Linked DNA regions of Diceros bicornis minor. The protein of the gene in region 4 interacts with the protein of the main gene of each other region in a pairwise test. Links are inferred from orthologs where the notes say so. Each region holds a gene or a part of one and is shown on either strand. Other genes may lie near its edges.

The links.
Region 1: the proteins of TPM1 (region 4) and CAGE1 interact in binary tests that used the Homo sapiens proteins (3 or more experiments, as listed by UniProt). The two-hybrid records come from large-scale screens. The link is inferred for Diceros bicornis minor from reciprocal best matches to the Homo sapiens genes TPM1 and CAGE1.
Region 2: the proteins of TPM1 (region 4) and KXD1 interact in binary tests that used the Homo sapiens proteins (3 or more experiments, as listed by UniProt). The two-hybrid records come from large-scale screens. The link is inferred for Diceros bicornis minor from reciprocal best matches to the Homo sapiens genes TPM1 and KXD1.
Region 3: the proteins of TPM1 (region 4) and TNNT1 interact in binary tests that used the Homo sapiens proteins (3 or more experiments, as listed by UniProt). The two-hybrid records come from large-scale screens. The link is inferred for Diceros bicornis minor from reciprocal best matches to the Homo sapiens genes TPM1 and TNNT1.

Annotation. Positions count from the first base shown.
Region 1 is NC_080753.1:58,996,659-59,003,545, forward strand, and holds the start of CAGE1 (cancer-associated gene 1 protein), read left to right. Parts: upstream 1-3,878; 5' UTR 3,879-4,254; coding exon 4,255-4,267; intron 4,268-6,053; coding exon 6,054-6,271; intron 6,272-6,887. Other genes in the region: RIOK1 (serine/threonine-protein kinase RIO1), read right to left, coding at 486-693, 3,511-3,581.
Region 2 is NC_080759.1:6,173,877-6,181,699, forward strand, and holds the start of KXD1 (kxDL motif-containing protein 1), read left to right. Parts: upstream 1-4,814; 5' UTR 4,815-4,907; exon of another isoform or gene 4,908-4,942; intron 4,943-5,057; exon of another isoform or gene 5,058-6,302; intron 6,303-7,732; 5' UTR 7,733-7,753; coding exon 7,754-7,823.
Region 3 is NC_080773.1:33,187,521-33,194,620, reverse strand, and holds the start of TNNT1 (troponin T, slow skeletal muscle), read left to right. Parts: upstream 1-4,088; 5' UTR 4,089-4,152; intron 4,153-5,342; exon of another isoform or gene 5,343-5,401; 5' UTR 5,402-5,412; coding exon 5,413-5,444; intron 5,445-5,554; coding exon 5,555-5,568; intron 5,569-5,912; coding exon 5,913-5,948; coding exon of another isoform or gene 5,949-5,969; intron 5,970-6,204; coding exon 6,205-6,237; intron 6,238-6,425; coding exon 6,426-6,476; intron 6,477-7,021; coding exon 7,022-7,043; intron 7,044-7,100. Other genes in the region: TNNI3 (troponin I, cardiac muscle), read left to right, coding at 1-143, 446-577, 1,057-1,146, 1,681-1,857, 2,486-2,569. UniProt on the Homo sapiens protein: Troponin T is the tropomyosin-binding subunit of troponin, the thin filament regulatory complex which confers calcium-sensitivity to striated muscle actomyosin ATPase activity.
Region 4 is NC_080744.1:57,612,722-57,620,735, forward strand, and holds the start of TPM1 (tropomyosin alpha-1 chain), read left to right. Parts: upstream 1-4,997; 5' UTR 4,998-5,106; coding exon 5,107-5,220; intron 5,221-5,991; coding exon 5,992-6,117; intron 6,118-6,322; coding exon 6,323-6,448; intron 6,449-8,014. UniProt on the Homo sapiens protein: Binds to actin filaments in muscle and non-muscle cells. Plays a central role, in association with the troponin complex, in the calcium dependent regulation of vertebrate striated muscle contraction.

The DNA.
Region 1 (6,887 bases), on a different chromosome or scaffold from region 4:
TGATATTTTAATGGTTTCTAACATTGTGAAATTTTGGGTTGTACATTTTTGTTTGTCCATCACCCCGTATATGACTCCCTTCACCCCTTGTGCCCACCCCCCACCCCCACTTCCCGGGTAACCACAGTCCAGTTTTCTCTGTCCATGTGTTGGTTTATATTCCACATATGTTTTTCTCCGTTTCTTAACCATCAGTAGTAAACTGTCTATTCATCTCCTTTCCCATGCAGATTTTAAAGCTCATAATCTTACGACAATTTAAATAACTCTTTTTAAATTTATTGATTACGGAAAGAATCCACATTCGGAAGTTATTCGAAATATGGAAAGGTCAAAGAATGAAAATCAATAAAGGCTAGAACTACAGGAAAATATCACCTGAGGAAAATCTTTCAGTTACTCAGTTCCAGAACCACAAAAAGTCCTTTTAAAAAAGAAGACATAAGCAAACAACACAAAGATGTATAGAATCATTTATAAAATACCTGTGGGTTACTACCTCCATTCAAGGTATAACCTTTGGTAAGTTTTCCAACACCATCATCCCAGTCCCAATCATCGTCATCATCATAATCCTCTTCCTCCTCCTCATCTTCTATCTCACCTTCACCCATCTTCTCATTCACATTACTTTGAAGGTCTTCAAATACAAAGTCATCTTCTTCTTTGATTGTCTTCAAGTCAAGGTTTTCACTAGAAATAACAATGTTTCAGCACGTTTAGAAATGCTCCAATTGGACAAACTTACGTATTTATTTATGATATAACAGAGTAAACCTACACCAACAAATCTAAAACGTTCCCTTACAACCAATCTCCCAATAAGCTCAATCTTCTTAATACCAAGTTCTCCAGTTTTTCAGAGTTCTGCTGGAGTTGTTCGCTTATTCTCCAGGTCCTACACTAAAGTACATCAGGTGTTGGATCTGCTTCTGCCCCACTGAAGTTACAATTTATATAGTTATCTTCTCTGCAGAATGAATTGAGGCAAGGGAAACTTCATTGAACTGGTTTAAGAGGGAAAAAAAGCTTTCTGACCAAAACTTGGGAATAAGTCTAAAGCAGCCTTACCTTGAACTCAAATACCACCTTGCAACAAAAGAAACTATATCAAGATTTGTCTTACACAAAGAATCACTCTTGTGCATGAAGGGAAGGAACAGTGAATACTTGCACCACAGATAAGTGACGTAGGCTGCATATAAGAAAATAGGAGAAGTGGGGATTGTCAAATCCAGAGAACAGGCAGCACAACTTATACGGTATTTTTTTTTTTTTTTTTTGCCATGTGAGAATTCAGACCTAGTGTTACCAGATCTTCTTAGCTTTTCAAGAAAAGCCAGAAACGTGGATTTTTGTGTAAAATCTCCCACTTAACTGGCATATCCAATTTTTATAAAACACTTTGCCTACCAAACAAAACACATTTTCAGGCCAAATTCAATAGCGATACTACCAATTTCGATCTCTCATATAGAGAATAAGGACAAAAACCATACATAAAACAAGTGATAATATGCACTACTGGCTTAAAAACAGTCAGACACGAGTTTAAGCAAATTTAGATATCAATCCTGACTTATTAATTAGCCATGGTCTAGAGGGCTAAAAATCTCCATGAATATGGGTAGGAAGAGAAAAAATAATCATTAAACACCTGCAATTTACTAGGATTTCATAAACATAATCAATAAATTGCCAAAAACCTAGAGGGGCATGTTAAAGTTACCCCTTCATTTATACCAGGGCTTCTCAACCTCAGCCAGACAATCCTTTGTTGTAGGCGGTTGTCTTGTGCATCCTAAGATGTTTATCAGCATCTCTGGCCCTACCTACCAGATACCACTTGTGCACCACCACCCCTAGTAGAGACAAACAAAAATGTCTCCAGAGATCGGCAAAAGTCCCCTGGACTGGGGGAGGAGGGGCAAAATCGTTGGTTTATCATCAGCATATCCAGCGATGGACAGTAAACCAGAGCATACTCATTGTTGTTAACTATTCACGCCACGCTGGCTGTGCTGCTTCTTTCCTCTTAACTTCTCTCCTAGGGGCTTCTGTACGCCCATCTGTAAATATAAACCTGGAATGCCCTTCTACTCCCTCTCATTTCTACTCCTTCCAGCAGTAGCTTACTATCAACTCACTCAGAGAGATCTTTCCTATTCGTCACCCATTTCTCCTTTGTATTATTTACCCAATTCTAATACAAATAATTTGTCTAACTATTTAATAAGTTTCCCTCGCTAGAGTGCAAGTTCTGTGTCAATCAGGGTGGTGTTTACCAATGTACCCCTACCAACTAACACTAGATCTGACACACAGAAAGGGATCAAGATATATTTATTGAAAAAATCTCCAGCTGACAGATAAAATCTATATGTAACAGATCTTTACTGTAAACATTAAGTAAAAACTGCTTTCTTGGAATTCTAAAATAACTGTTTCATTTTGCTTTTAAGTAGGAGTTATCCTTAATTCTTTCTGCCTCACATTCACATCCAATCTACTGCCAAACCCTCTCACTTCTACCTCCAAAACATATCCCTACAACTCTGTCTCTAGCTCCCATAATCTTTGAACTGGATGACTTTATTACTTTTGAACTGGTCTCTGCTTCCACTCTTGCCCTCCAAAACCATCCTCTCCATAGCAGAACGATTCCTTTAAACCATAAATCAGATGATGTAATTCCCCTGCTAAAATCCCCCTATGGCTTCCTGCAAGACCTAGAATAACATCTCAACTCCTTACCATCACTTGTGAGGCTACACATGATATGGCCCCTTCTCACTTCTATACCATTACCTACCAAGTTTCTCAACTACCTCCACTGGGCTGTAAGCACATTGGCCTCTAGATCTTTCTTTCACAGCCAGCCAAGAGGGATGCCACCGTTGGGCCTCTGCGCTTGCTGTTCTCTCCGCCTGAAATGCTGTTCCCTCTACTATTCCTGAGGTTAGCTCCTTCTTGTCATTTAGATCTGGACTTAACCCTTCTCTGACCATACACACGTAGTATATCAACCGCCTTTAATTACTTGCATAGTATATGTCATCTTTTTTTAATTTCTATGTATTTGTCTGCCCCCCCTCCCAAGTAGCGAGGGTAAAGTTCAATGACAGCAGGGACTTAGTCTGTCTTGTTCACCACTTTCTCCAGCGCCGAGGACAGATTCCGGCACACAGGAGGTGCTCAATAAGTATTTCTTGAATGCCTAACATAAAGCGCAAAAACCTGTTTCCCAGTCGCTATTCGTAACTCTGTCCCTCAGCGACGGTAATCGTCTGGGAACCCCGGACTCCCCTGACCAGAGGCTCTCATTACCTCTGCCATAACCCGGGGCGAGTCCCGGCTGGGATGGAGAAAGACTGAGAAGCCGTGGGGCGCGCCCCCGAGCGATAAACTACAGTGTCCCTCCACACCACGAACAAGCGTCAACTCCCCAACGGGGCGGCGGCGGCGGGGAGAGCGGAATCGGGAGAGCCGGTGTACTCCACGGCCGCCTACCTGTCCGAAGAGTCCGCGTCGTCGAACTGCCCAGGGACCACCCGACTCATCAGCAGCCGCCGGTAGTCCATGACGGACGCGCGCAGAGCCTCGGCGCCCGCGGAGGCCGCCCACCCGGCGCTGGGACAGGAACCGCACAGAGACGGTTATACCCGCGGCCGACCCAACCGCCTCTCCGTGGGTTTCCGCCTCGCAAGCCGCTCAGAAGCCCCCACGCCAAATCCGCGCGCCACGTGCTACGAGGGATCCAGACGAACAGCCCCAGCCTCCCGGCCTTCCCGACCGGAAGTCCCGCTCGACCGGAAGTTCCGCCCCTGCGCCGGGCGGAGCGCCCGCCGCTGGCGCCGACGGTGCGCTGAAGGGGCGCATGGGGGTGTCAGGTGGCCGTGTTGAGTCGCGTCCGGCGCTGAACCTGTGCCGGGCATTGTGCCCGGAGCTTTTGGTCTCTGCACCGCGCTTTGTGTTTCCTCCCGCAGAAGGACGCGACATCTGGCCCACAGGCTGTTGGGCCTGAGGGCTCACACCCACGTAACTTCCCAACGCTGGGAACAGAGGCTTCGAAGCCCCCAAGCCGAGCCCGCGGGGGGCGGGCGGACGTCACACAGGGACGTTCTGGCGCGCCCGCCTCCCAGCTGACAGCTTTTGAGAGTCCTCCGTGGAGAAGTCTGAGAAGCGTTCTTCCTCCTGCAAAACTCAGGGCGGAGGGAGGAAGCGTGAATCCTCGCTGTGGCTCCAAGCAACTCGATGGACCCTGGAAGTGAGCACACTTTTGCGACTTAAAAAGTTAAAAAGACATGAAGATCGTGGGACATTACAATCTCTTTTATTTTGTGAGAGTTTGGTGCCTTGTTTTGAGGTGACAATAAGATAAGTGCTTTTAAAAGTTAAAGTTTGACATACGACTGAAAACAATTTTTTAAAGAAAACCTTAGAATTTTTGCCAGTAACTCCAGTGACATCTCTTTTAATGCCCATCTTAAAACAGCTTTAGAGTGTCTCTGGAATATCTCTCCAAACACTTGAATATTTTAAAAGTCGAGCATAAATCTGGTAGGGACAGAATGAATGACAGAAAAAGTAAGCCTAACTTAAAAAAAAAAGTAAATTGGCGGATGTGCCATATGAACAAAGTTGTAAAATTATAATTGGATATTCTGGGTTTAACATTTAAGAAATAAGGCCCTTGCGTGTTTTTGCACTTGGAAAACACAACAAGGATTTTTGAGATCCCTGTTACTACAACCCAGCCAGCGTTTATCTGTTTGTAAGACAGAGAAAGTTGGGCTTTCCACCAATCCTAGCTAGCCTGGTTGGCTCACTGGCTTTTTTATACTTTACCGAATGATGATGTAGGTTTGAAAAAAATTAAACCTTAATAAATTATTTATTAATTCAATAATTAAATAAAATAATCCAGGCAAATGGGTAGTGGCTGTAGATTGAGAAGTTTTAATAGAAATAAATCATTGGAATGCAGGATTTATTCTATCAGTATTTACTCTGTGAACAACACCAGTCTATTTTCTGTAAGCGTTGTTGAAAAACCATAAATGGACTTCTCTCAAAGCATTTATAATCTGTAAATGCAAACACTAACATGCTGGACACAATGGTGAATGCTAAAGCAGTAAAATGAATCCATGCTGAATTATGAGATAGATGTTTAGACTGAAGACATTGTAGGAATTTAAATAGATGAATGGGTAGACGGGAAGGTTTTAGGAGAGAGAAGCACTCGCCAGGACAGACCGCTGAAGTGGTAAAGAGCGTCATCTATTTGCAGGGAGGTGAGCCTGATCTGACTAGAGCAGGGGAGTACTGGGTAGGTAACATGGGTTCCGGCTATGAAAGACCTAGAGAGTCAAGCAGCAGAATTTGAATTCAGTGTGATTGGACATCCTTTCCACTCCCATCCCCTGACAGACCTTAGGAGGTCACGAGAATGTGGACCAGTGTGATGAGATAAAGGGTGGAAAGAAAGCATGGGTTATGAGAAAATTTTTAAAGGAGAAATGGACAGGACTTGGTAACTGAGTAGCCCATGGATGATGAGGTGGAGGGATGCCAAAGATATCTCCAAGTGTTCAAACTCAGGTGTCTGAGAGAATAGGTATGGCATAGGAAAGTGAGGGAAAACTGATTTACAATGTTGGATTTGACTTGTTAATGAAATGTTTGAATAGAAAGTATCAAGTAAACAGAAATACACTGTTTTGTGGAACCTAATAGGTCTCTGATAATATTTTGTAAATCTTTTGATTAATTGAGAGATCCCTTCATCTTCTGGGTCCCAAGATTTTTAAGGAATTATTGGATAGCAGCCACACATATTGACTTGTTTTTGTCCAAATTAGTATTTACTACCATACAAAGGTATAATGGTATACTCAGACTAAAATTTTTAATTTTTCCAATAACTTGACATATACCATTTTAAAATTTAGGACAATGAACTTTGCTGCTTTCTTAATGTGAGGAGGGGTGGGGAAAAAAGCTTTCTGTTTGCATATACTAATAGACATTAAAATTATGTTTTTTTAAAGAGGCCTTCCATTATCCAACAGTTAGGAACAAGGACTGTCAAAAAGTTTGGTCATCACCCTCAGATCCTGTACATCTTAAAGTGGATGCTTCTCCTAAAAAATTAGAAAGCATGTCAGAAGCGGATGCCATGAATTTCAGCGGTCTTTCTCAAGACTTAACTCACTCAAATTCTCCCTTCTATGTGGAAACCAGCAGTACCACTTCAGACTTGCCTCAGGTGTGCATTGCTTACAAGTTCTGGGAGGTACAGATGTATTCAACCTTAACATTGTCTTGCATATGAAAATTTCTTCAAAAACATGAGAAACAATAAAAGAATCTCCAGTGGAAGCGTAAAGGAGGGGAATACAGGGTCTGGTTTTGCCAATTCCGTTAGTGTACAAAGAAAAGTAGAATTTTACAAATAGAGTGTTAAAACTGATCCTGTCTGGCCTCCTTGTGAAGTCCCAGGAGTGCAGCTAGGGACATGGTCACAACAACTGAGGCAGGAGAAGAGCCTAAGGGATCTGACATTTGGTCTAAAGCATCTTCCACTATGTCAGCATGGAAAGGATTCAAATGTCATTCATAATGATATTGACAGCACCCTGCATGTAAATGACTTCTTTCCTACCTTCAGGAAAGTTCCTAGTGTCCTTTCTCACAAAATAGAAGAAATTGTAATGTCCCAAGATCTTCATGAATGTTGTTCTAATGTTTGATAATTATTAGCAAGAGTGTAGGGAAATAATAGGAATGTATTAGGCTGTGCCATGTGAAATTGCCTTTTTGTAGCTCAGAAATGGGCAAATATTGACCATTTCATGTGGTTAGTCCATAAATTGGCATAACTT
Region 2 (7,823 bases), on a different chromosome or scaffold from region 4:
ATCTGTGCCCATTTTCCTCCACTTTATATGGGACACCGCCACAGCATGGCTTGCCAAGCAGTGCATCAGTGCGCGCCCGGGATCCGAACCGGCGAACCCCGGGCTGCTGCAGCGGAGCGCACGCACTTAACGGCTTGCGCCACCGGGCTGGCCCCTGGTTCCTGTTTTAAATGCTCCACCCTTTATCTTCCACCTTTCTGTATCCTCATGTTGTACATGTGTCTCCTATAAGCAGCATCGAGTTGAGTTTTGCTCTTTGGTCTAGTCTGCCCATCTTTGTCTTTTTTCTTTTTAAACGAAGGAGGAAATTTTTTTTTTTTTTTTAGGAACATTGGCCCTGAGCTAACATATGTTGCCAATCTTCCTCCGTTTTTCCTTTTGTCTCCCCAAAGCCCCAGTAGATAGTTGTAGTTGTACATCCTTCTAGTTGCTCCATGTGGGACGCCGCCTCAGCATGGCTTGATGAGCAGTGTGCAGGTCCGCGCCCAGGATCTGAACCTGCAAACCCTGGGTCACCAAAGTGGGGCACGCAAACTTAAACGCTACGCCACCGGGCCAGACCCCCATCTTTGTCTTTTAATTGGTGCATTTGGTGTATTTTACATTTAATGTAATTATGGACCTATTTGGACTTAAAATATGCCATCTTGTGTGTTTTTTTCTCTGTCCTACCTGCTCTATGCTCTTCTCTCTGCTTTCTTGCTTTCTTTAGGACTGGGTGCATGTGTTTTGGTAAGGTTATCCTTATATTGCAGATGGGGAAACTGAGGCACAGAGAAGGTAATTACCTTGTTCAAGGTCACAGTGATGAAGGGCAGTATGGGTTAGGTATCTTCCATTACCGAGCTTTTATTCCAGCCAAGGAGCTGGATATTGCACAAAGAATGATGCAGTTAAGTATCTAATTTGCAGCTGTGATGAGTGTTATGTAGGAAAAAGAAGTGGCAAAAAAATTGAAAAGAAAGGCTTCCAGTCCCCAGACTTAGGCCTTCCCCAGACCAGTGGCCCCATCACTGAGCTGACTGAGTGTTCCCATCACTTCCAACCCTCTCCCTTGAACACACAAAGGAGGGAAATATTTTCTTGTCTCCACTCCACTGTGCACAAAACATCTGAGGCCAGCCAAGTCCCTTTTGGCCCGATGTGCAACCCCCACCCCTTCCAGGACCCTTGTAAATGTTTCCTGGCCTCCAACAGAGCCCAAGGGACCCATCAAAAAGCTTGATTTCTCCAGCTTGGGCCTCTTCTGCTGCAGCCTGCAGACAGAGCTGTGGTTCCACTTTTCCCAGCAGCCTCCGCCCCGGCTCCTCGCTCAGCAGTGGCTGCCGCCTGGCTTACTGAGCTCCACAATTTTTACAAAGATAGAGTCCATGATATGTGCTTTCCCACCATCCTGTCTTTGCTCCTGTGATTCCCTCAGTCCTGAATGGTTGTCAGCACCTAGAAAACTCCTAATCCTACCTCAAAACCCCATCCAGGGGCCAGCCTGGTGACGCAAGCAGTTAAGTGCATGTGCTCCGCTGTGGCAGCCCCGGGTTCACCGGTTCGGATCCCGGGCGCACACCAACACACTGCTTGTTAAGCCATGCTGTGGCGGCGTCCCATGTAAAGTAGAGGAAGACGGGCACGGATGTTAGTCCAAAGCCAGTCTTCCTCAGCAAAACAAAGGAGGATTGGCATCGGATGTTAGCTCAGGGCTGGTCTTCTTCACACACACACAAAAAAACCATCCAGATGTACCTGATTCCTTGTCCCCAAAACGAGTCCTCATACCCCATTCTTCAGGTTCCTTCAGTCTTGAGTCTCTCCTCCCTCTAGCCCAGCACTGTTCCCCTAGGGATGGGAGTGTCTGTGTCAGACTCTGTCTCCATCCTCCAGGGCTAGGCATGAATTGAGTACTCTCTGGATGCCCAGAATATGGGCCACTCCTAGAAAGGGTGGCTAGAGAGTTTACTGAACAATTTTTAAAACTGTTTGTTGAACTGACTATATAAGAATCCTGGTCTTCATTAACTTTTCAATGAATGAAGGCAGCAGAGTGTGGCAGTAATAATACAGTCTACCCTCGGTTTACCGAGGGCTTACAGTGGGCCAAGACTTGTTGTAAGGAATTAACCTGCATGATTTCATAAGGTTAAACCACTTGCCCAAGGCCACCCAGCTAGGATGTGACAGAACTGGAATCAGAACTCACATATGTCCAATTCCAGGACTCTTAAAGAGTCTTCCATGTGCCTAAGAGCATGTGTGCATCTCCCAAGCTCTCAATATCTCCCAAGCTCTCAACGACCTTAAAAGGCAGATGCTGTGATCACCCAGTTAACAAACTGAGACCCAGAAAAATTAGACATACAATATATAACATATACACATCATAAGACCTCAACAACTGGGGCCGGCCCGGTGGCGCAAGCGGTTAAGTGCACGCGTTCCGCTGCGGCGGCCCAGGGTTCGCCGGTTTGGATCCCAGGCACGCACCAACGCACTGCTTGTTAAGCCATGCTGTGGCGGCGTCCCATATACAGTAGAAGAAGATGGGCATGGATGTTAGCCCAGGGCCAGTCTTCCTCAGCAAAAAAGAAGAGGATTGGCAGATGTTAGCTCAGGGCTGATCTCCTCACACAAAAATAAATAAATAAATAAAAAGACCTCAATAACTAATGGTAATTAATTAACATTTATTGAGCAATTACTATTTGCCCCATTTTGTTCTTGCATTTAACTTGGATTACTTCACTTAAAAATGCATCCTCATATCAGTATGAACTCACAGTTTTCAGTTTATATACAAGGAGACAGATATAGAAGTAAATATAAATGTGTGTGCATGGGTTAGCAGGCATACATGTATTTGCTAACTCTGACTGCTGAGAGGGTCTCTAAGCAATGATAGCCCAGTGGCAGTGAGCATGGCCAGCACCCAGATCTTGGTTTCTTTTATTTATTTATTTATTTTAAAGATTTTATTTATTTATTTTCCCCCCAAAGCCCCAGTAGATAGTTGTATGTCATAGTTGCACAGCCTTCTAGTTGCTGTATGTGGGACGCGGCCCCAGCATGGCCGGAGAAGCGGTGCGTCTGTGCGCGCCCGGGATCCGAACCCGGGCCGCCAGCAGCGGAGCGCGTGCACTTAACCGCTAAGCCACGGGGCTGGCCCGAGATCTTGGTTTCTAAATCCTATTCTCCAAGAAAAGGTACCAGGCTCTTTGGAGAAATGGCTGACTCCAGAGATATTCCAAAGCAAGCATGGAACATCTTGTGGTGCCAAAAGTAAGGAAGTGCTCAGAGAAAGGTGCAGACATATTAAAATGACATAGGGGCTAACTTAAAGAGGCAGAAAAATAAATAATATAGAAATTGGGCCAGCCCTGGTGGCCTAGTGGTGAAGTTCGGCAGGCTCTGCTTCAGTGGCCCAAGTTCAGTTCCTGGGTGTGGACCTACATCACTCGTCTGTCAGTGGCCGTGCTGTGGCAGTGGCTCACATACAAAAAGAGGAAGATTGGCAGTGGATGTTACCAGCAAAAAAAAAAAAAAAAAGGAAAAAAGAAAAGAAGTTAACTATAATCCACAGAATAAAATAAATATTCATAAGTTCATAGTGATACAAATACTTGAATAAATCCATAATTGGAGAATGGACAGCTCTTGTTTACAGTAGAATTCCAATTAATAATTAAATTAATAAACAGAAAATCACCAGAAAAAAATAAATTAAAAAAAAAATTAAAAAAGGGCCGGCCCCGTGGCTTAGCGGTTGGGTGCACGTGCTCCGCTGCTGGCAGCCCGGGGTTTGGATCCCAGGCGCGCACCGACGGACCGCTTCTCTGGCCATGCTGAGGCCGCGTCCCACATACAGCAACTAGAAGGATGTGCAGCAGTGACATACAACTATCTACTGGGGCTTTGGGGGGAAAAAATAAATTAAAAAAAAATTATAAAAAAAAAATCACCATTATGCAAACACGATAGTAATCATTGTTGCTGGCAAGAGCCACAGATGGATGCTAAAACTAGTGGGTGAAAAATATGTTTAAAAAAACCCCCAAAACTAGGGTATTTGTATGGGCTCTTAAGTATCTCTCCACAAGATACCTATTAATTATAAAAGGGAAAATAGTAACTGGACAGTTGAGAAACTGGCAGACACTGCCTTAAGCAAGTAATCAAAGTCAACATCACCAATAACGAGACACATCAACATCCCGTGCTTCCTGATACCATGCATGGAGGACACAACATCGCTTCTGTGGGATTCCTGCCCAAACTGCTCAACTTCAGTCTAATCATGAGGAAACACTGGATAAACCCATATTGATGAGTATTCTACAAAACCAGTACTCTTCAAAAGCATTAAGGTCATGAAAATTTAGGAAAGACTGAGGAACTGTCACAGAGTGGAAGAGACTACGGAGACACGACTAAATGCAACGTGGGATCCTGGATGGGATCCTGGACTAGAAAAAGGTCACCAAAAGCGACGCAGGGATTTTTGAACCCAGATGAATCTGATTCCCAGCCTGGAAAGCAAGACACCTGGGTCTGGGTCGACCGCAGGCCACTGAAGCATTATATGACCTTGCGGAAGCGCCTGCCGCTCTCGGACCTCAGTTTGACCATGTATAAAACAGGACGTCTCCCAGCCTCCACCACCCACTTCCGGACTGCCAGGGAGCCCGGGCTTAGGAAACTACGCAGGCGCGAGAGGGACTGCTCGATTGGCTATTTGTTGTGGCGCACACGGGAACAGGAGTTGCGTCTAAGCCCCACCCCTTCCTGCCGCGCCTCCACGCACGCCAGTCGGCCCCGGGTACGTCTCCGCCACCCGCGCTCGCACGCATGGTGCGTGGTGACGTCGCGGAGGCTCGGGCGCCATCCCGGAAGCGCGAGCAAGGCCGCCAGATGTGCAGGTGCCGCTGCCACCGACGCTGGTGCCGAGTTCGGGGTGGGGCTGGGGCCGCCGAGGCCGCTGGGGAGCCGGGCCGGGCCGGGTCGGGTGTAGTCCCCGGGCTGTTGTGGGGTGGGGCGCGCCGCTGGCCACATCTGGGCACCCCTCCTGCGCACAGGTCTCGGTTTCCCTGTCTGCGCAGTGGACGCGCGGGCGGAGCCGCGGGCCGGATCCGGGGCACGGGAGTTTGGGCCGCTTGTGTTCAGGCTGTGCTGTGTTGTTACCCGGAACCGGGCGTTGGTCTGCTTGGGCCTGTTTCCCCACTTTGCAGGGGCGGGGCGTGAGGGGATATGCGAGCCCCTCCGCGCTCGTTTTGCTGAGCTTGTGCCACCAAGTTAAATTCTGTTAAGGACTTGGGTGGAATGGCGGCGCCTCTCCGCCTTGCCATGTGACCTTGGGCAGCTGAGTCCACCTCTGTGAGCCTTAGCTGCCTTCGGAGATGATAGTGTCTGCCTCATAGGGAGGGTTGGGGATTAAATGAAGTGCTATTCAAGTGTTTGCTCATATTCTTGGAAGCACCGGGGAAGCCCTTGTTAAAATGTTGATTCCTGGGGCTGGCCCGGTGGCGCAGGCGGTTGGGTGCGCGCGGTTCGGATCCCGGGCGAGCACCAACGCAGGGCTTGTCAAGCCATGCTGTGCTGGCGTCCCATATAAAGTGGAGGAAGATGAGCTGGGATGTTAGCTCAGGGCCAGTCTGCCTCAGCCAAAAGAGGAGGATTGGCAGATGTTAGCTCAGGGCTGATCTTCCTCAAAAATAAAGCTGATTCCTGAGCCCCGCCCTAGGACTTCTTCCCACTCCCTTTGAAGAAACAGCCCAGATCCTTATCACAATTGGCTTCAGTCCCCACAGATAGCGCTGTGAAGTGCTGATTCTTTGTTATTCCCATTTTCTGGGTGAGAAAACCGATTCAGGGAGGTGAGGTGATTCTTCCAAGGTCACACAGCCTCCCTGTCTGTGTGTTTCCCTCATAAAGGTATTTGGAGCAGGAGCCAGAGCCCTTGCTGGGTCATTTCCACCCTGTGTGTGGGCCAGACTAGCTGTTAGTCAGGGAAGGCTTCCTGAGGGAGACAGCTAGGGTAGTGGGGAGTGTGCCCTGAATCCTTCAGCCCTCATATCTGGCAGCTGGAGATGAGAAAGAGCTGTACTTTGCAGCAGAATGGTTTCCCACTGGTCCAGAACCCTGAACCTGTCAGGCTCTGGCTGTGGGTCCTGCCACATGACTGCCCTTTGAGCGCAAGTGTCCTGTTTATACATGATCATGCTTCTTCAAAAATCGGAGACTGTGAGTGTCCAGACCTGGCACATAGTGGGAGCTCAATAAACATGGCGATAATTGGATGAGGAGAGTTTCACCAGGTATGGCAGCTTATTTCTAGAAGGCATGTAGGGGCTGCAAATCGCTAGCCAGATTCAGGGCTCAAATAGATAACACTTGACTACATGGTGTTTGGGGGGGAAAAAATATTGGTTGCTGACATTTGTAAATGAGGCGATTTCACAGGAAAAAAAACCCGTATTTCTGTTTTTTGCCTGGAAAAAATCAGAAGTCTGGCAGGAATCAGCTGCTTAGAGCAGCAGCTGTCCCGTCATGGGTGGATAATGAACACCTGTTCAGATTCACACCTCTGTGGATCCTGCAGAGCATGGGCATGTGAATTGTGACTCAGGTTCTCTGGCTGTGTGACAGTGGCCCCGTTCCTCAGTCCCTGAGCCTCAGTGTTCTCATATATAAACAAGGATGATAACAGTTCCTGGTGTATGACGTTAGTGCCTTGTAAAGAGGAGGGTGGATCAAGTGAGCTCTGAAAGACCTTGCTAATCCTGTGTGTGAATTCTCACCAGTCACAAGTGGGCCTTTCTGTCAGCCATTAAATGTGTGGACGCCAGAATCAAACTATGTCAGGATTCTGGGTTTCTCCTGAACCCTCCCCCCAACCAGGAGGGTCAGTGCTGAAGCTGTGGCCCCTCCTGCCCTGGCATGGTCAAGGAAGCCCCCACCCACCAGAATGGTCACCTGGGTGCCGGGGACCTGGGGCCCGCAGCCTGGCTCTGAGTGCCTGAAATTCTTGGCTTTAATTTGCTAATAAAAGTCTAGCATCAGGGCTGAGTTTGAAAGGTTCTGTCAGCCTCCGCCAAAGTTCTGGCCATCCCTTGCTATGAGCCACGTTCTGGAGCAGAGCAGCAAGGGAGAGAGACAAGTCTCTGCTCTCTTGGAGCTGACACTGCTGTGGGGATGACAGGCAAACAGATCAACTGACAACTGAGATAATTTCAGGAAGAGGTGTGGCAGTGAAGCAGTTAAAACAAGGCAGAGTGATAAGAGTGACCAGAGTTGGGGTATCATCAAAGACCTCGGGGTATCATCAAAGACCTCGGGAGAGAAGACATTGGAGGTGCTGATGATTTGAGGGGGCAGCCATGCATGTGCTACCGGTGGGGACAGCAGGTGCAAAGGCCCTGTGGTGGGAGTGGGCCAAGGCAGGGGGATGTGGGAGGTGGCTGGCAGATCTATGCAGGTGGAAATTTCCCCTGGCCTCGGGCACATGGAGAGTGGGAGCCATGGAGGTGGGAGGGACTAAGGGGTTCTCATGTGCTGGGGTGCAAGTTATAAGTATGGTCTCCTGTAGTTCTCAGAACACCCCCGAATTCCCAGGTGACAAAGCTGAGGCTCAGGTGGCGTGACCGACTCATGTTCAAACAGCCTTTGCGGTTCCCAGCCCCTCCTCTCTGTCCCAACTCCTGGTGCCTGGTGCAGACTGAAGACTCTTTCTTCTTGCCTGTTTCAGGCAGCGGAGGAGGAGGAAGAGATGGACACCCCGGACTCGGCCTCAAGGGTCTTCTGCAGCCGCATCCTGAGCATGGTGAACGTGGACGATG
Region 3 (7,100 bases), on a different chromosome or scaffold from region 4:
GCTTGCGGGGGGGGGAAGGGGGGGCTGCTCTGAAGTCCCTCCCACTGCTCACCTTCGGAACCCCGTCTCTGATCCTTCATTGCTCTGTGTCACCCTGGCAGAAAAAGTCTAAGATCTCCGCCTCGAGAAAACTGCAGCTGAAGGTGCGGATGGGCCTGGAGAGGGCGCCTAGGTGTCCTCGGGGGGGGCGGAGCTTGAAGGTTGGGGTGGGGCTTCGGGCGTGCGAGTGGGCGGGACTTGGCGTGGTGCGTTCCTGGGGGCGTGGCTTTGCGGCGGGGACCCACCTACGGGAGGGGCGTGGCCTTGGAATGGTGGACCTCGAGGGGACGGGTCTCTAAGGCGAAGGACGGGACTGGGATTCGAGGGCGGGGCGGGAGGAAGCAGCTTCCCCGAGAGCGCGGTCCTCATCCCGCTACCCCCGGGTGGGCGGTGGTCCACTCCGCAGACCCTGATGCTGCAGATTGCGAAGCAGGAGCTGGAGCGGGAGGCGGAGGAGCGGCGTGGAGAGAAGGGGCGGGCCCTGAGCACGCGGTGCCAGCCTCTGGAGTTGGCCGGGCTGGGCTTCGAGGAGCTGCAGGTACCGGTTCTAACCAGGGACTCTCTCTCAGCCCGGGGTCTGAGATTCCTACTCTCCGGTCTTGCATCCTTGGGACTCAGGAGTATAGGCACTATCCCCTTCTGCTCAGGACCTTGCGGTCCAATCTCCTAAACCTTACGTCGGGAGTTCAGAAATATGGCCTGCAGCTCCATGCTTGAGGGCTACAGTCTCAAAACCTAGAAGTCGGTTCCTGCAACTCGAATTCTGTCGGATTCTCAGGACTCTTGGCTCTGGAGTGCTGCTTTGTTCACAGTTCCCCAGAGTCCAGCTTCAATCTCCTCCCTCAGACCCAGGAGTCCAGGCCCCCAGCCCCTCCTCCCTCAGACCCAGGAGTCCAGGCCCCCAGCCCCTCCTCCCTCAGACTCAGGAGTCCAGGCCCCTAGCCTCTCCTCCCACAGACCCAGCAGTCTGGGTCCCCAGCCTTCCCCGCCCCACACACGCCACCGTTCCTCCACCAGGATTTGTGCCGACAGCTCCATGCCCGCGTGGACAAGGTTGATGAGGAGAGATACGACGTGGAGGCGAAAGTCACCAAGAACATCACGGAGGTGGGAGGCACTGGGCAGTGTGGGTCCCCTCAGGGTAGGGTGCAATGCCTGGGGCTGTGGTCTCAGCTTGCCCCCTGGCAGCTGCTTGTGGTTGCAGACACCAGGAGACCCAGGACAAGTCTGTGAGTCTGACAGGGAGTGGGCAGAAAGATGAGTACAGTATGCTCAGGGAAGGCTGTACCAGGCAGAGGGAACAGCACGTGCAAAAACCAGGAGGTGGAACAGTAGGAATATGCTTGTGGACATGTGTGGCTGGAGCTGAAGTGTTGGTAAATGAGCTCAGGTATGGGCCGGGGAACTGTGAGATGCAGGTAGCTGGACTGGGATGAGTCAGTGGTTTTCAGAGATGAGGCTGGGGCAGCTCCGGGAGGACTTCCAGTTCCGGAATGAGGAGCTTAGATTTTGTCCCAAAGGTGGTTGAGCTAGGGAGGGCCCGGATGCGGCCTGGATAGGATAGGAGGGGAGTTAGGGTGGAAGAGTGGGGCAAAGGGGAAGCAGAGGGGAGTCTCCACCTCCTCTTATGGCTGCCCCCAGATCGCAGATCTGACCCAGAAGATCTTTGACCTTCGGGGCAAGTTTAAGCGGCCCACCCTGCGGAGGGTGCGGATCTCTGCGGATGCCATGATGCAGGCGCTGCTGGGGGCCAGGGCTAAGGCGACCTTAGACCTGCGGGCCCACCTCAAGCAGGTGAAGAAGGAGGATACAGAGAAGGTGAGTGGGGCGAGGGCCAGGAAAGGGGGTGCTTAGAGGCGAGGATGTGGGAGGTGACAATGCCAGGGCCTGTCCTGAGGGCAGATGGTGCTTGGAGTGGTGGGGAGAAGTATCTGGTAAGGGTCCTCAACAGGAAGTACAGGAGGGACACAGGAAGTGCATGTGGGAGACAGGAAGTGCAGGAGGGAGACAGGAAGTGCAGGAGGGACACAGGAAGTGCATGTGGGAGACAGGAAGTGCAGGAGGGACACAGGAAGTGCATGTGGGAGACAGGAAGTGCAGGAGGGAGACAGGAAGTGCAGGAGGGAGACAGGAAGTGCAGGAGGGAGACAGGAAGTGCATGTGGGAAACAGGAAGTGCAGGAGGGAGACAGGAAGTGCATGTGGGAGACAGGAAGTGCAGGAGGGAGACAGGAAGTGCATGTGGGAAACAGGAAGTGCAGGAGGGAGACAGGAAGTGCATGGGGCAAATTGGAAGGGATTGTCTGAGGGGACAAGACGTGTTCCAGAACCAGGTTCTGGGACAGGCGTCCAGAATAGAGCAGCCCAGCAGGCTGGAGGGCAGCTGGAGGATATTCGAGAGATTGTGGACCAGGAAGAGACCCTAACCTCTGACTCTATTCCCCCAGGAAAACCGGGAGGTGGGAGACTGGCGCAAGAACATCGACGCGCTAAGCGGAATGGAGGGCCGCAAGAAAAAGTTTGAGGGCTGAGCTGGCCTGCCCACCGCTCTGGCCCTGAGGATGGCCTTGAGGAATAAAGCTTCTCTCTGAGCTGGGAGTGGCTGCGTGTCTCCTACCCGGGGGCTTAGGGGTGACAGAGATGGGAGACCTGAGGGCAGAGCTCCCCGAAAGCCACACCACACGCGAGGAGCTGAGCTGGGTCTCCAATATGGGGCGTTCTAGGCTCCTCTGCTCCACGCGGGCTGCACAGAGATGCCGAGACCAAGGCCCAAAGAGAGACAGAGACACAGACAGACAGACTGAGTCAGAGACAGTTACACAGAGCCAGAGACCCAAGGAGAGAGGGGGAAAAGGACAGAGAATCACAGAAAGAAATGCAAAGAAATGGAAAACAGAGAGACAGATACACACAGCGAGACAGAGACAAGGGAGACCCTACAGAGACAGAAACAGGGACCAAAGAGGAACAACTGCAGAGACACAAAGAGAGACCCCCAGAAAGAGCCAGAAAGATAGAGACATGGACACAGAGCCAGAGAGACAGAACTGGGGTCACAGACAGACATGCACGAGAGACCAGGAGACACAGACACCAACAGACAGACCCTGAGGGAGGCAGAGACGCAGAGACAAAAACATGCCAAGAGACATGCAGAGTGAAGAACACAGAGACAGAGAGAGACAGAGAGAGTCTGAAACAGAGAGCCAAAGAGACACCGCTGAGAAATGCATAGAAGACAGAAACAGAGATGGCAGACAGTGAGACAGAGACAGCAAGAGAGAGGCAGGGAGGGCGAGGAGTCCCGCTCTCCAGGGCCTGCTCCCCCACCCTTCAAGGTCACGGCTTGGCAGGGAAGCGGGGAGAGGGATACCAAAACAGACCAGTGTCAGATGGAGGTGGGGGGTGAGGTCCCGCGGGGCTGACACCCCACCCTCTCGCCTCCCCCGACACACACCTGTTTCCCAGCTTTAGTGCCTGTTGTCACCAGGGTGGAATCCCGGTGGCAGACAAAGGGGTGGGGGTGGGGAGGAGAAGACAAAGAGGGACAGAGACAGAGGGGGGAGCCTGAGAAGCAGAGAGAGATGCACAGAGACCCACAGACGGAGAGTCATAGAGACAGAGAAACAGGGTGTGAGAGGTGGAGGGCCAGAGAGACACAGAAAAAGTGACAAGAGCCATGCAAAGAGAAAGTGTCCCTTGTCCCCCTTTAGTCAATAAGCAGTCTCCAAGGGCCTACTGTGGGCTGAGCATGGGGACTTCAAAGCACAGGGTGCCCTGTGCTGTAAGGGAGGGGGGAGCCCCGGACCCAGCCCAGGGTTCCAGGAGGTGCTGATGGGGCAGAGGAGGGGGGTCCGAGCAGCCAGCAGGTGCCTGGATCCTGCCATGTGGAGCCTGAGTGGGGGCAGGGCAGCCTCTGACTGGGGACTCCGGTTTGGGGAAAGGCATTCTCTCTCCCTCCCTCTCCCCCCTCCCTCTCCCCCCTCCATCTCCCCCCTCCATCTCCCTCCTGGGGGCGGGGCTGAGCCTCCAGCTATAAACCCAGGGGTGCCTCAGTGGGGCCCAGCAAGACTCTGCCCCCGCCGGTTTACCGCCTCAGCAGACCCAGTCTTAGGTAAGGGGCCCTGGCCCTGCGGTGCCCTTGGGGGAGGGGCAGGAGGGGAGGGAGATGAGGGGTGTGGAGAATACGTATGGGGAAGGAGGGGGCAGGAAAATCAAGGTCTGGGAATTCCAGAGGCTCAGACTTTAGGGGGACTAAGAATGGAAGGGAAAGTGTTAGGATTTGGGTGTTACGGGATCCGGTGGTGCCAGGATTTGGGGAACAGAATATAAACTTAGGATCTCTCAGAGTCAGGGAATCTCAGAAATTGGGGGTATCTGGGCTTGGACGTCAAAGAGTCTGGGTGTCAGGATGGGGGTGGGTCTCAGAATCTGGGATTTTAGGAACTGAGGTCTCAGGATCTGAGGTCTTATGATTGGAGGCATCACAATTTGGAGTGTCATAATTCTGAGTGTCATGAACTGGGCCTCTGAGTTGGGGTATCCAGATTTTGGGGTCTCATGATCTTGAGGTTTCAGAATTTAGGGGGTGTCAATACCGGGGGGTCAAGATCTTGGGATGTGTCCCGGCCCATACTCTGGAGAGTCAAGAACCAGAGTGTCAGAATGGTCCTCAGAGAGCAAGAGCATCATACACTGGGGTCTCAGGATCTATGGCTATTGAGATTTGGGGGGACTCAAACTGGGCACCTTGGGGCCTGGGGGATCTCAGAGACTGGGGGCTCTAAGTATTTAGGGGTCAGGATGAGGTCTGTGGACAGAAGCTGCCCTCATGCCTCCTGCCCCCTCCACGGCTGTGGGTGAAGGTGAAGGAAGGAGACAGGTGGGAAGATGACCTGCCAGAGGGGAGGGGGGACTAACTCTCCCAGAAGCCCCCCCATCCCTTCTTAGGAAATGTCCTCTGTTTCACTGGCTGCGACATCCCCTCAAAATAGCCCCTGGGGGTGGGGCAGCTATTGTCTTCAGGCCACTGTCCCTTCCCAAATACCTTCTCCTAATCCCCACTCAGATCAGGTTCCCATGGACAGGTCCTAAGACAAAAGATGACAGCTGTGCTGAGGGCGTGGGGGCTGCAGGCCTGGGGCTCTGCCTGGGCCACACCTCCCAATGCCCTGTCCTCATGCACACTCCAGGCCTCTGGCCCCTCCTCCCTCAGACCCAGGAGTCCAGGCCCCCAGCTCCTCCTCCCTCAGACCCAGGAGTCCAGGCCCCCAGCCCCTCCTCCCTCAGACCAGGAGTCCAGACCCCAACACCCTCCTCCTTCTGGACCCCACCCCATTGCGTCTGTTCTCTGTGGTCCGTAGGTCACACCAGGATGTCGGAAACGGAAGAGCAGGAATATGAGGAGTGAGTGATGCTGGCGGGAGGGGCTGGGGGTTTGGAGAAGAGGAGACACTCTCCCACCTCCAACGCATCTAACTTTCCCCCTCCCTCTTTCCCTCCCACTCGGTCCTCAGGGAGCAGCCGGAAGGTGAGTGGACGGTGCGCTGGCCCTGGGGAGGTGGGAACACCCATGCGCGTAGCGTATGGGAAGCGCGAGATGGTGCGGCCCCTTCCCAGCAGGGAGCCGGGGAGAGAGGCGGGTTAGCCCACCCCGCCCGACGCCCACCCTCTGGAGCGTTTCCAGGAAATCTCCCACGGCCAATGGGAAAAGCGCACGGTGCCCATTTGCACCTGAGGCCCAGAGGGGTCCCCCCCGCCCAGCTGAGACTCGAAGACCGCTCTCTGGCCACCCCCACATCTGAATAAAGGCCCAGCCGCCCCCGGCCCCCCCGGGCTCCTAACGCCCTCCCTTCTCTGCCCCGCCCCTTCCAGAAGAGGAGGCTGCCCCCGCCGAGGAGGAGGAGGAAGGTGAGGCCCTGGCCTCAGCAGGTCTGGAGCTGGACGCGGGGCCCCGCCGGGCCCGGGTGGGGTGGGGACACTCGTCCAGGGGTGGAGGCTGGCGGGGCACGGGGGTCCCGAAGGCCTCGGCTTCAGTTCCTTTAACAGCCTCTCCCCTCTCTCCCCTCTCTCCCCCTCCCGCACCCGGCGTGGCCGCTCCCCCACCCCGCTCCCTCCCCCCCCCCGGCTCCCCCAATCCTCGCTTCTCCTCCTGCCCCCTCCCCAGCCACCGAGGAGCCGGAGCTGGTGGCAGAGCGAGGTAATCGCGGCTGCTTCGCTTCTCGAGACCGATTTCGGGGGCCCTGACCTCCGCGATGACTCCCTCCCGCCCCCATAACCCGCCCCAGGCCCGGTCCTTTAAGCCCCGGAGCGCCCGCGCGCCCTCTGGTGGCCACGAAGGGAAAATCACCTCGCAGCGGCTTTAACCCTTTCCCTTCCTTCTTAAAGGGACCGACACCCAAGCCTTCTTCCCCAGCCTGGAGGAATACTTACAGAAGGGTTGGATGTTTGCGGAGGGGCACCACCCCATCCCCCCTCATCTTCGCCCCCTACCCTGTCTGTTATTTTTCTTCTCCATATACATTCAAAGGTTGGGGCCTAGGTTGCAGAAGGGGCTAGCACTGGGAGTCCGGGTTCCTGTGTCCCCAAGGGGGAGGGGACTGGGAACACAGCTCCTGGGCCACCGATAGAAGAGAAGGTTTGGGGCCCCCCTGCACTGCTAGGTCTTGTTGGAGGAGGGCAGGAGCTCTGGGTATGTACAAGGAGGAGGGTCTGGGGATTTGGACCCTTGGGTTCCCAGGAAAGTGGGAGGGGATCCCCACACCAGTTCTGAATGTATATCTGATGCGTGTGATTCTCCTCCTCCTTCTGGCCACCCTGATTTCCCTTCTCTCCTTTTCTCCTTTCCTGCCCCCCCCCCCAGAGCAACAGGAGGAGGGAACTGGGCTCCTGGGGACTGAGGCTTGCGGGGGTTCCCTTCTCTGGGTGTGTCAAGCCCATCCCCATGAACTCTTGCTAATTATCTCTTTGTATCCCCCCAACAGAAGAGGAGCGCCCCAAACCAAGGTGAGATCTTGGGGGGGGTCCCAATCACGTCCTCCTAAATGTGTCCCCCACCCCCAG
Region 4 (8,014 bases):
GATAATGAACTTGAAAGTGCTTTTTAGACTTTACATAAATAAGGAATATTGCTATTCTTGAGACAGCTAAATTCCACCACAAGTCAGCTTGATTAAATCTATACATAGTTGCTCCTGTTGAAAAACAGAAGATAAGATATAAGGCAGAACTAACTTATTGTCTTTTTCTGTACTGGGAGAACCATTTTGCCTGTGCCAACCCTCCAGGTAGCAAGCATACTCAGGGACCTCTAAACAATGAAAGATGGTCACTAAATGAAGAAAGGCATCCACAGTGGCCTGAAGACCTTTCTCAGAGCTCCAAACCCTCCCTGAAAGCAGAGCATACTTTCCTTGGGTGCTTGATGGTAGCATCACAAACCTTGAGAAAGAAAGATCCCTTGTGTATGAGGAGAACAGGCTGTATCTTGTTCCATGAGACAATGAGCCGTGAGCATAACACGCTGCATTCCAACACCCAGTGGAAGAAGCAATTGTCTCTCAATTTAATTATAGATTCTCCACGTTCCCATAATTGCTTGAGTCAGCACTGTTGACGCTGGGGGAGTCATGGTACACGGGTAGAGCTAGTGCTGTTAAACAAGGTGTGACTATCAGGTAATAAGAGTTTATTTTTGTTTTTGTTTTTAAACAAACAAACCCTCATGTACATAGTCAAGTGAGTCTTCTTGTTAAAGGCGTCACACTTGTTGCTCATGTTGATTGTCTTTTCTAACCAAATATTGGAAAATGTAGTATGGCAAGTATGGGTGCTCTTATGAGAGGAAGGGACAGTATATTTAATGTTAAAGCTCTCCTAGAAAACCTGAGATACATGATCCTCGCAGCTATAGGGGGGCCCAGGCAGCATTTGGGTCAATGGTAATGTGGTTGGAAATTCACATTAAATGACCCCCAGAGAGAGGATTTTACCCCACGTCATACATAAATACTTATCCTGGAGGAAAAGATCCAGGTCTCTTATCCACCTTCCTTGATCCCATAAACTCTAGTTAAATGCCTGGCACACAAAAGGTGTTCAGTAAATATTTGTCCTACTCTATCACAATACTTCAGAAAATAAAACATAGAATCCATATTTTGAATGGAAATAATGTCTTTTGAGCATAGTTTTGTTATCTTTCCTTCCCAGATACTGTTTCTCCTACTTAATTGTATGGCTAATAGCCAATAAACAGTCATTCAACAAACATTTACTGAGAAATGACTGAATACCAAGCACTACGGAAATCTCCTGGAAATTCCACAGACATTCTTGATGTTCACACAGAAGCTCTGGACCAAGGATGTTGTGCAGGCTCCCATGTCACCGTGATTCGGTCAGCTTTTTTAATTTCAAGGAACACAGACTCTCTCATGTAACCTCAGGAAAGAAAGGGGGTTATTATAAGGACTCCTGGCACTGAAATTTGGTCATATTCTCCCTTCTCTTTCTCTCAGTGGTGCTTCTGTTTATCTTGACATGTCTGCTCCATCCTCCTTTCTCTATAACCAGACATCTCTGCTTCCTCATAACTGGGGTGATATATGACCTGTTGTGCTGAATTAGGGCAGGAGATGCTAGTAACACTTCAGTAACAAACAACCCCCAAATCTCAGTGGCCTAAAATAGCAAAGGTTTATATCTCTCTTTTGCTACATGTCCACCAAGGGTTAGTTGGGAGGAGAGGGGGAGCTCTGCTTACCATAGCCACGTGGGAACCCAGAATGACAGAGCAGCAAGAATCTTGAAAAATGAACATAGTGAGACGTGTTAACTCTTCAAGTGTCCGCCATAAATCACTTCTGCTCACATTTCCTTGGCCAAAGCAAGTCAAATGACCACACCTAACTAAATTGGGTGAAGATGTATAATCCTACCAAGACCCTGATTGGGGAGAAAGCCCAAATATTTGTGAATAGCCTTAATCACCCTCATTCAAGGCATCTCTAGCCCAAGATTGCAAACACTTTTTGTTTCAGCAGCCACAGCTGATGATTCATATTTTCCACATTCCTTAGTTCAAACCACAGTGAGAGAGAAGCTGAGTGGCCTAGTCCATCTTTGCCTGACAGACCACAGCACTAGGTCTCTGGTTAGCCTTTGGGTCTGTCCATGAGTCATGGCCAGTCAGCTGGGCAAGAGGGATATATACACTACAGCACGCGGCTGTCCAGCCCACCCCTCTTGATCCTATCCAGCGACCAGGAGATCTGTCCAGTACAGAAGAAATTGTGTAAGTCATGATGTTTTGCTTGTCCTAGCCCTACACAACAGAAAGGTCATGGATGGTGCAGTCCATGAAGCTGGGTTGGGTCTGGCTGGCTGTCAGGCTATTCATAGGGCAGAATCTCAACAGTGGCGAAATGGAAATGATTCAGTCCAGGGACCTGCTATGTTAACCCATCAATCTAGGGATCAATGATGTGGTACCAAGGGATTTAAAAAATTGGCTCTGTGTAGCTCCATTTCCACCCTTGGATACCACAGTCTTCATCCTCTGAACATAACTCTGGGTGAGAGGGGCAGGGAGGGGAAGAAGACTGCTTGGCTTCAACCCAAACAATAAGACCTGAACGTCTGAACCCGGAATTCAGTCCCTTTACCATATGCCCCCAATCTACCTTTCCAGTCTCATGTCCCAGTTCACCCCCAAGGAAACCTAGTGTCCAACCACCATCAAACATTCCTTTTTCTTCCCTTGGCTCATACAGTATCCTCCTCTCTATCTGCTACCTTTCCTCTAAAATCAGTCTAAAAACCAGCACTTTTCAGAGAAGTTTATTCTGTCTGCTCCGAACTGGTCATTTCTATTTCTTTCTCCTCTGAGTTCTTATACCCCTGCTCATGCTGAACACGTGGAGGGCATGGATGTGTCTTACTCATTTGGGGATACCAGAGCCTAGTGCCTGCCTGGTATAGAGCAGATGCTCACCAATGGTGTGTTTGAGGAATTGTCTGTAGCACCAGTTCATTTAAGGAAAATTTAACAAGTTGCTCTGCTATGTTAGGCACAGTGGAGAAAAGTCAATATTATATGATCCCTCCAGGAGTTTCTCTAGTTCAGTTGCCTCATTTTATAGATGAGAAAACTGAGGCCCAGAGAGGGGAAACAACTTGCCCTCTGCCACTCAAGCAGCAGTAATTTACTGAGCACTTTGCTATGTGCTAGACAAAATGCTTTTCATTCTTTATTGCATTGTCATCCTTGTAACAACTCTAACAGGGAAGAATTTTTACACCTACTTTACAGAAGAGAAAACTGAGGCCTAAAGAGATTGTAACATGGCTACGGTCGCATTGCAAAGAGGTGGCCAGGCCAGGTTTGGATCCCAGGGTCTAATTCTTGAGTCCCTACTCTTGCCCCCTGTCCTGAGCTCCAAGCTGGAGAATCAGCTCCCTGTGGTCCATGCATCTGTTCAAGCCCATAGGCCTTGAACTTTGTTAGTGCTCCTGTGGGTGGGGGGTTCTGGTGAATTTCTGTGCCCTACAGCCCCTATGCACACAGATCTAATGTTCTGACCATTAGGTCAGGGTATCTTTTCCTTCCTGGGCTGTTAGGTTAGTGGAAGAAACTTGATAAAATCCTGGAGAGGAACTTGACTATTCTCTGAAGGACTTACAAGTTGTTTGACCTGCCTAATCTACTCAGATACTGCCCAGGGAATATTCAGTATCCATGTAGTACAGGTTGTGAATTATTCTCTGGGGAGGGTGAAGAAGACCCTCACCAACTCTGCTGCAGCCAGTCTCAGGCAGAGCCTTGGGGTGGCCCCTTCTCTTCCCCTCCCACCAAAGCTCTGAAAAGAGCAAGCTTTTCCCCACTGGGGGCTGGGAGGAGTCAGAGATGTAAGGGAAATCCTCCTGCCTTCAAGCAGAGCTTGAAGTCTCACAGTCTGTACAGAGTTGGCCTGATCGCTTCTCCTGGTTATGGCTGTGGATACAGTGACTTCGCTGGGGTAACATCTATCCCACGTTTTGGCAACCTGGTACCTGAGCACCTAACATGGAAAGAGGCCGACTCCCTAAAATCAGTGCAAGAAAAATGATAAAAAGTGAGATCTGGAGGCACCTCAGGGATCATCTACCCCCCGGGATTTAAAGATGAGGAAACTGCAGCACCGAGGCCATGCGTCAAGGTCACACAGCTGCTGATGATGGAGACCAAAGACTGAGTTGCCTGAGTCTACACTCAATATTCTTTCCCCTTAAATTCCCACACCGACACACTAGCACACACACAAGCACCTTTGCAGAAGCACCACACACAGGCAAAAGCAGAACTAAGCCGAGTCCTGTGTCCCTAAAATATTCGACTGTTCCTCTCCTTGGAGGAAGGGCACGCAGAAAGATGCCCAGACATTCTGACCCGCACCAGCAGAGAAAGTCTCAGGAGGGGCCCCCAGAACTTCCTCCCAACTCGTCCTTTCTCTGCTCCGGTTGAGTTTCCAGAGTGAGCGCCCGGATGACACCCGGCAAGCGGAGAGCTGCCGGGGAAGCGCTGGGCGAGTGCAGGGAGCGCGCAGGCCCGGGCGCCGAGTGGGGCGGCTGCTGGGGGCCTCGGGGCCTGATGCTGTGCGCGCCGGGATCTGGCGGCTCAGGGGGGCGACGCGCACCCTCTACCTGCCCTATTGCCCCGGCCTCCTGTGGCTCAGGGCGGGCTCGCCTGGGGCCCTCGATGGCGGGGCGTCCGCCCTGGGAGGAGGAGCCGCGCAGCGCAGAGGTTAGCGCCCCGGCCCGGGCTCGGCCCCGGTGCCCTCTCCCTGGCGTGCAGGTTTGGAAACAGGGCGGCCTCACCCGGCCGCCGCCCCGGCGGCTCCGGTCCCCATATATAGACATATCCACCGTCAACTGGGAGGCCGGCAGGCGGCAGCGAATGGGCGAGCGGCCCCCGCGGGAGGAGCGGGGAGGGGGCAGGGGGCGGAGGAAGGAGGGGGAAAAGGGGCAGGAGAAAAAAGCTTTTCCAAAAAAGTATTGGCTGTCTTGAGGAATGCGGTCGCCCCCTTGGGAAAGTACATATCTGGGAGCAGCAGGCTGCTCTGCGCTCGCACTCCGGCTCGGCCGCCCCACCGCGCTCTCGCCTCGCCGCTCCCGCCGCAGCCCCAGGGCCCCTCGCCGCCGCCACCATGGACGCCATCAAGAAGAAGATGCAGATGCTGAAGCTCGACAAGGAGAACGCCTTGGATCGAGCAGAGCAGGCGGAGGCCGATAAGAAGGCGGCGGAGGACAGGAGCAAACAGGTCTGCGCCTCCCCGGCTCTGCGCCCCCCGTGCGCCCGCGCGCTCCGTCCGCCCGGTGGCCCCGAGCCCTGGCACCCGGGCTTGGCACCCCCGCCCGGCCCCTCACCCCCAGGACTCGGAGGGCCACCCCCTACTCCTGGGCGGCCAGGGACGCGCGTCTAAGAAGGGGGAGGGGAAGAGAAGACTCAGGCTTATTCTAACTCTTTAGTCTCGTCTGAGGACGCTTGTTTCCCTTCTCTGGTCCCAGAGCTCGCGAAGTCAATCCAAGTCCTAGAGGCACTTGATCCTCAGCATCGGGAATCAATTTTGGATGGGGGGGTCGGTAGGGTTGAGGGGTTGAAGGGAATCAAGTCCAGAAAGTGTTAGTCGTTCTTCTGGACTTTTGACTGGGGAGAATATAAACTTCAACTGGGATAGAGACGGGGGAGGGGAGGAAGTCATGGATTTTTTTCCTAAGAACAAAGATAGGACAGAATAGAGAGTGCGGCCCGAAAGATAGGGAAACAGGGGCTTTTTCTGCGCCCCCAAGTTGTGGACTTGAGCCCGCTGAGGCCTCAGCAGGAGTCTCCTCCCGGGGGAGGTGGAGGTGCGGGGTGGGCCACGGTGCGGTTCCAGCTCGGAGCGAGAGGAGGTTACCCAGGGACCCTTGAGTCCCAACTCGGTGGCGCCCCAAGCCCGAGGGCCCTCAGCCAACCCGGCGCCCTTGTGTTGTGTGTGTGTCTAACACCCGGTCCGTGCCGGCCGCCCGCGCCCGCCCGCCGCTGCCCCCAGCTCGAGGAGGACATCGCGGCGATGGAGAAGCTAATGCGGGCGTCGGAGGACGAGCGGGACCGGGTGCTGGAGGAGCTGCACAAGGCGGAGGACAGCCTCCTGGCCGCCGACGAGTCCGCCGCCAAGGTACCCGGGGCGCGCGGCGCGGTGCGGCGCACGAATGGCTAACTCTGTCTCTCTCTCTTTCTCTCCCTCCCTGTCTTTCCCTCTCTCTCTCCCTCTGTCCCTGTCCTTCTGGTTCTGTGCACCCACACCCTTCCCCTGCGGGATCACGCTGCCTGCTGCACCCACCCCCCCACCCCCCCTCCCGTCCCCCACGGCCAACTCCCAGCTGGAAGATGAGCTAGTGTCGCTGCAAAAGAAACTCAAGGGCACCGAAGATGAACTGGACAAATACTCCGAGGCTCTCAAAGATGCCCAGGAGAAGCTGGAGCTGGCGGAGAAAAAGGCCACCGACGTAAGTGCACGCACACACTGCTTCCCTCACCTCCTGCCCCGCGTAGTCACTCCGGGGTCACCACACGGGCCAGAGAGCAATGGAGGAGGGTCACCTCCTCCTGCTGGACATCTGCACACAGCCTCGCCATGGCTCAGAGCACTGGATGCTGCCTGGGACTGCTACTGCACACCTTCATTTATATTTCATCCATTCCTCTTTCTTTTTTCCTCCTTCCTTCTCCCCACCCCTGGGGGTGGAGGTGGGTGGGTGAGAAGCTGGGAGCATAGAGCAGCTGAAATTGGACTTTGGAGGTGAACCTTGCCTCCCTGGTGGCAGAAAACTTCTGAGGTGTCATCACCAAGGTTTGTGCAGACAGAATGCCTAGTTTTCTTTCCTCTCTTTCCTTTTGCCATGTCTGGTGGATGGGAAGGCCTGGGTTTCAGTGGTGGGTCTAGTCAGGATCCAGAGGGCCTGGCCTCTAGATGGAAGGAATGGCATGGTGCTAGGTTTACTCAGAAGACCGAGCTTGATGGTGGGGCAGAGAGACACTTGAGGCCTCCTTTCTCACCAGGGAAGTCTTAATCCACCCCTTAAGATCTGCCTGGGAAGATGATACTTGCTTGGGTCTGCAGTCTGAGGGCACCAGATCCAGAAAGTAAGCTGGGAGTTATATATAGCTCAGTGCTTTATATGGTATAGTGAGCCCGCTGCCCCCTGCCCTTCCTGCTCGCCCCACCCCCACCTGTCAGCCCTCTGACAACCACCGCATAGTTTCAGGGGTGATGCATAGGCCGCCAAAGCTCTACCAGCACTTTGTCCACTGCCCTTTGGAATCTTTTTCGCTGAAGAGCTGGCCTCTTCTGCTGAATAAGTCAAGCCAACCATTAGATTTCCAAAGGACTGACTTCCTCTCACACCGTTGGATTCCATTCCAGAAGCTAATTAAGCCTAGAGGCCCAATTAGGCAAGAATTCCTTGGGAAGTTGGTATAACAATTCCAAGAATGCATGAGCACCCGGGAAAGCTATGCCCGGAAGTTGAACTACCAAGTTCAACCGCAGAATTTTTTGTATGAGAGTAAAATGCAAATTGCTGGAGGGTCTTGGGTCTTGAAATCAGTACAGGCTTTTTGTGGCGTGAAAGGCTTGAAATGTAATTTCCAAGTGTGCTTTGTAAATGAGAAATCCAGACATAGGACATTTAGAATCTGACAAAAAGAAATTTTCAGTGAAAATCAAGATTCCTGGGAAAGGGGGTTCAGGGAAGCACTGATTTAGCTAAAACATTTAAGTTACAAACTACCTGGCTTTAGAAAAAGAGCCAAAAAACACATATAACTCTGTGCCTGCTTTGTATAATGTAGATCAGATGTCTGCTCCGTATATGGCTAAATGGAGGATGTCTGTCTCCCCCAAATTCTCCAGCAGGACGTTTATTTAGTTTTTTCAAAAGAGCCGCTGATAGATCAAGGAGAGATATTCCTTATAAGGAAAAGAATGCAGAGAATTTGAAAATAGCCCAGTAAGACTGAAGGCAAGAGAAGGAGATAAAAAGCTACTACAATTCTTAAGGAAAAAAAAGATC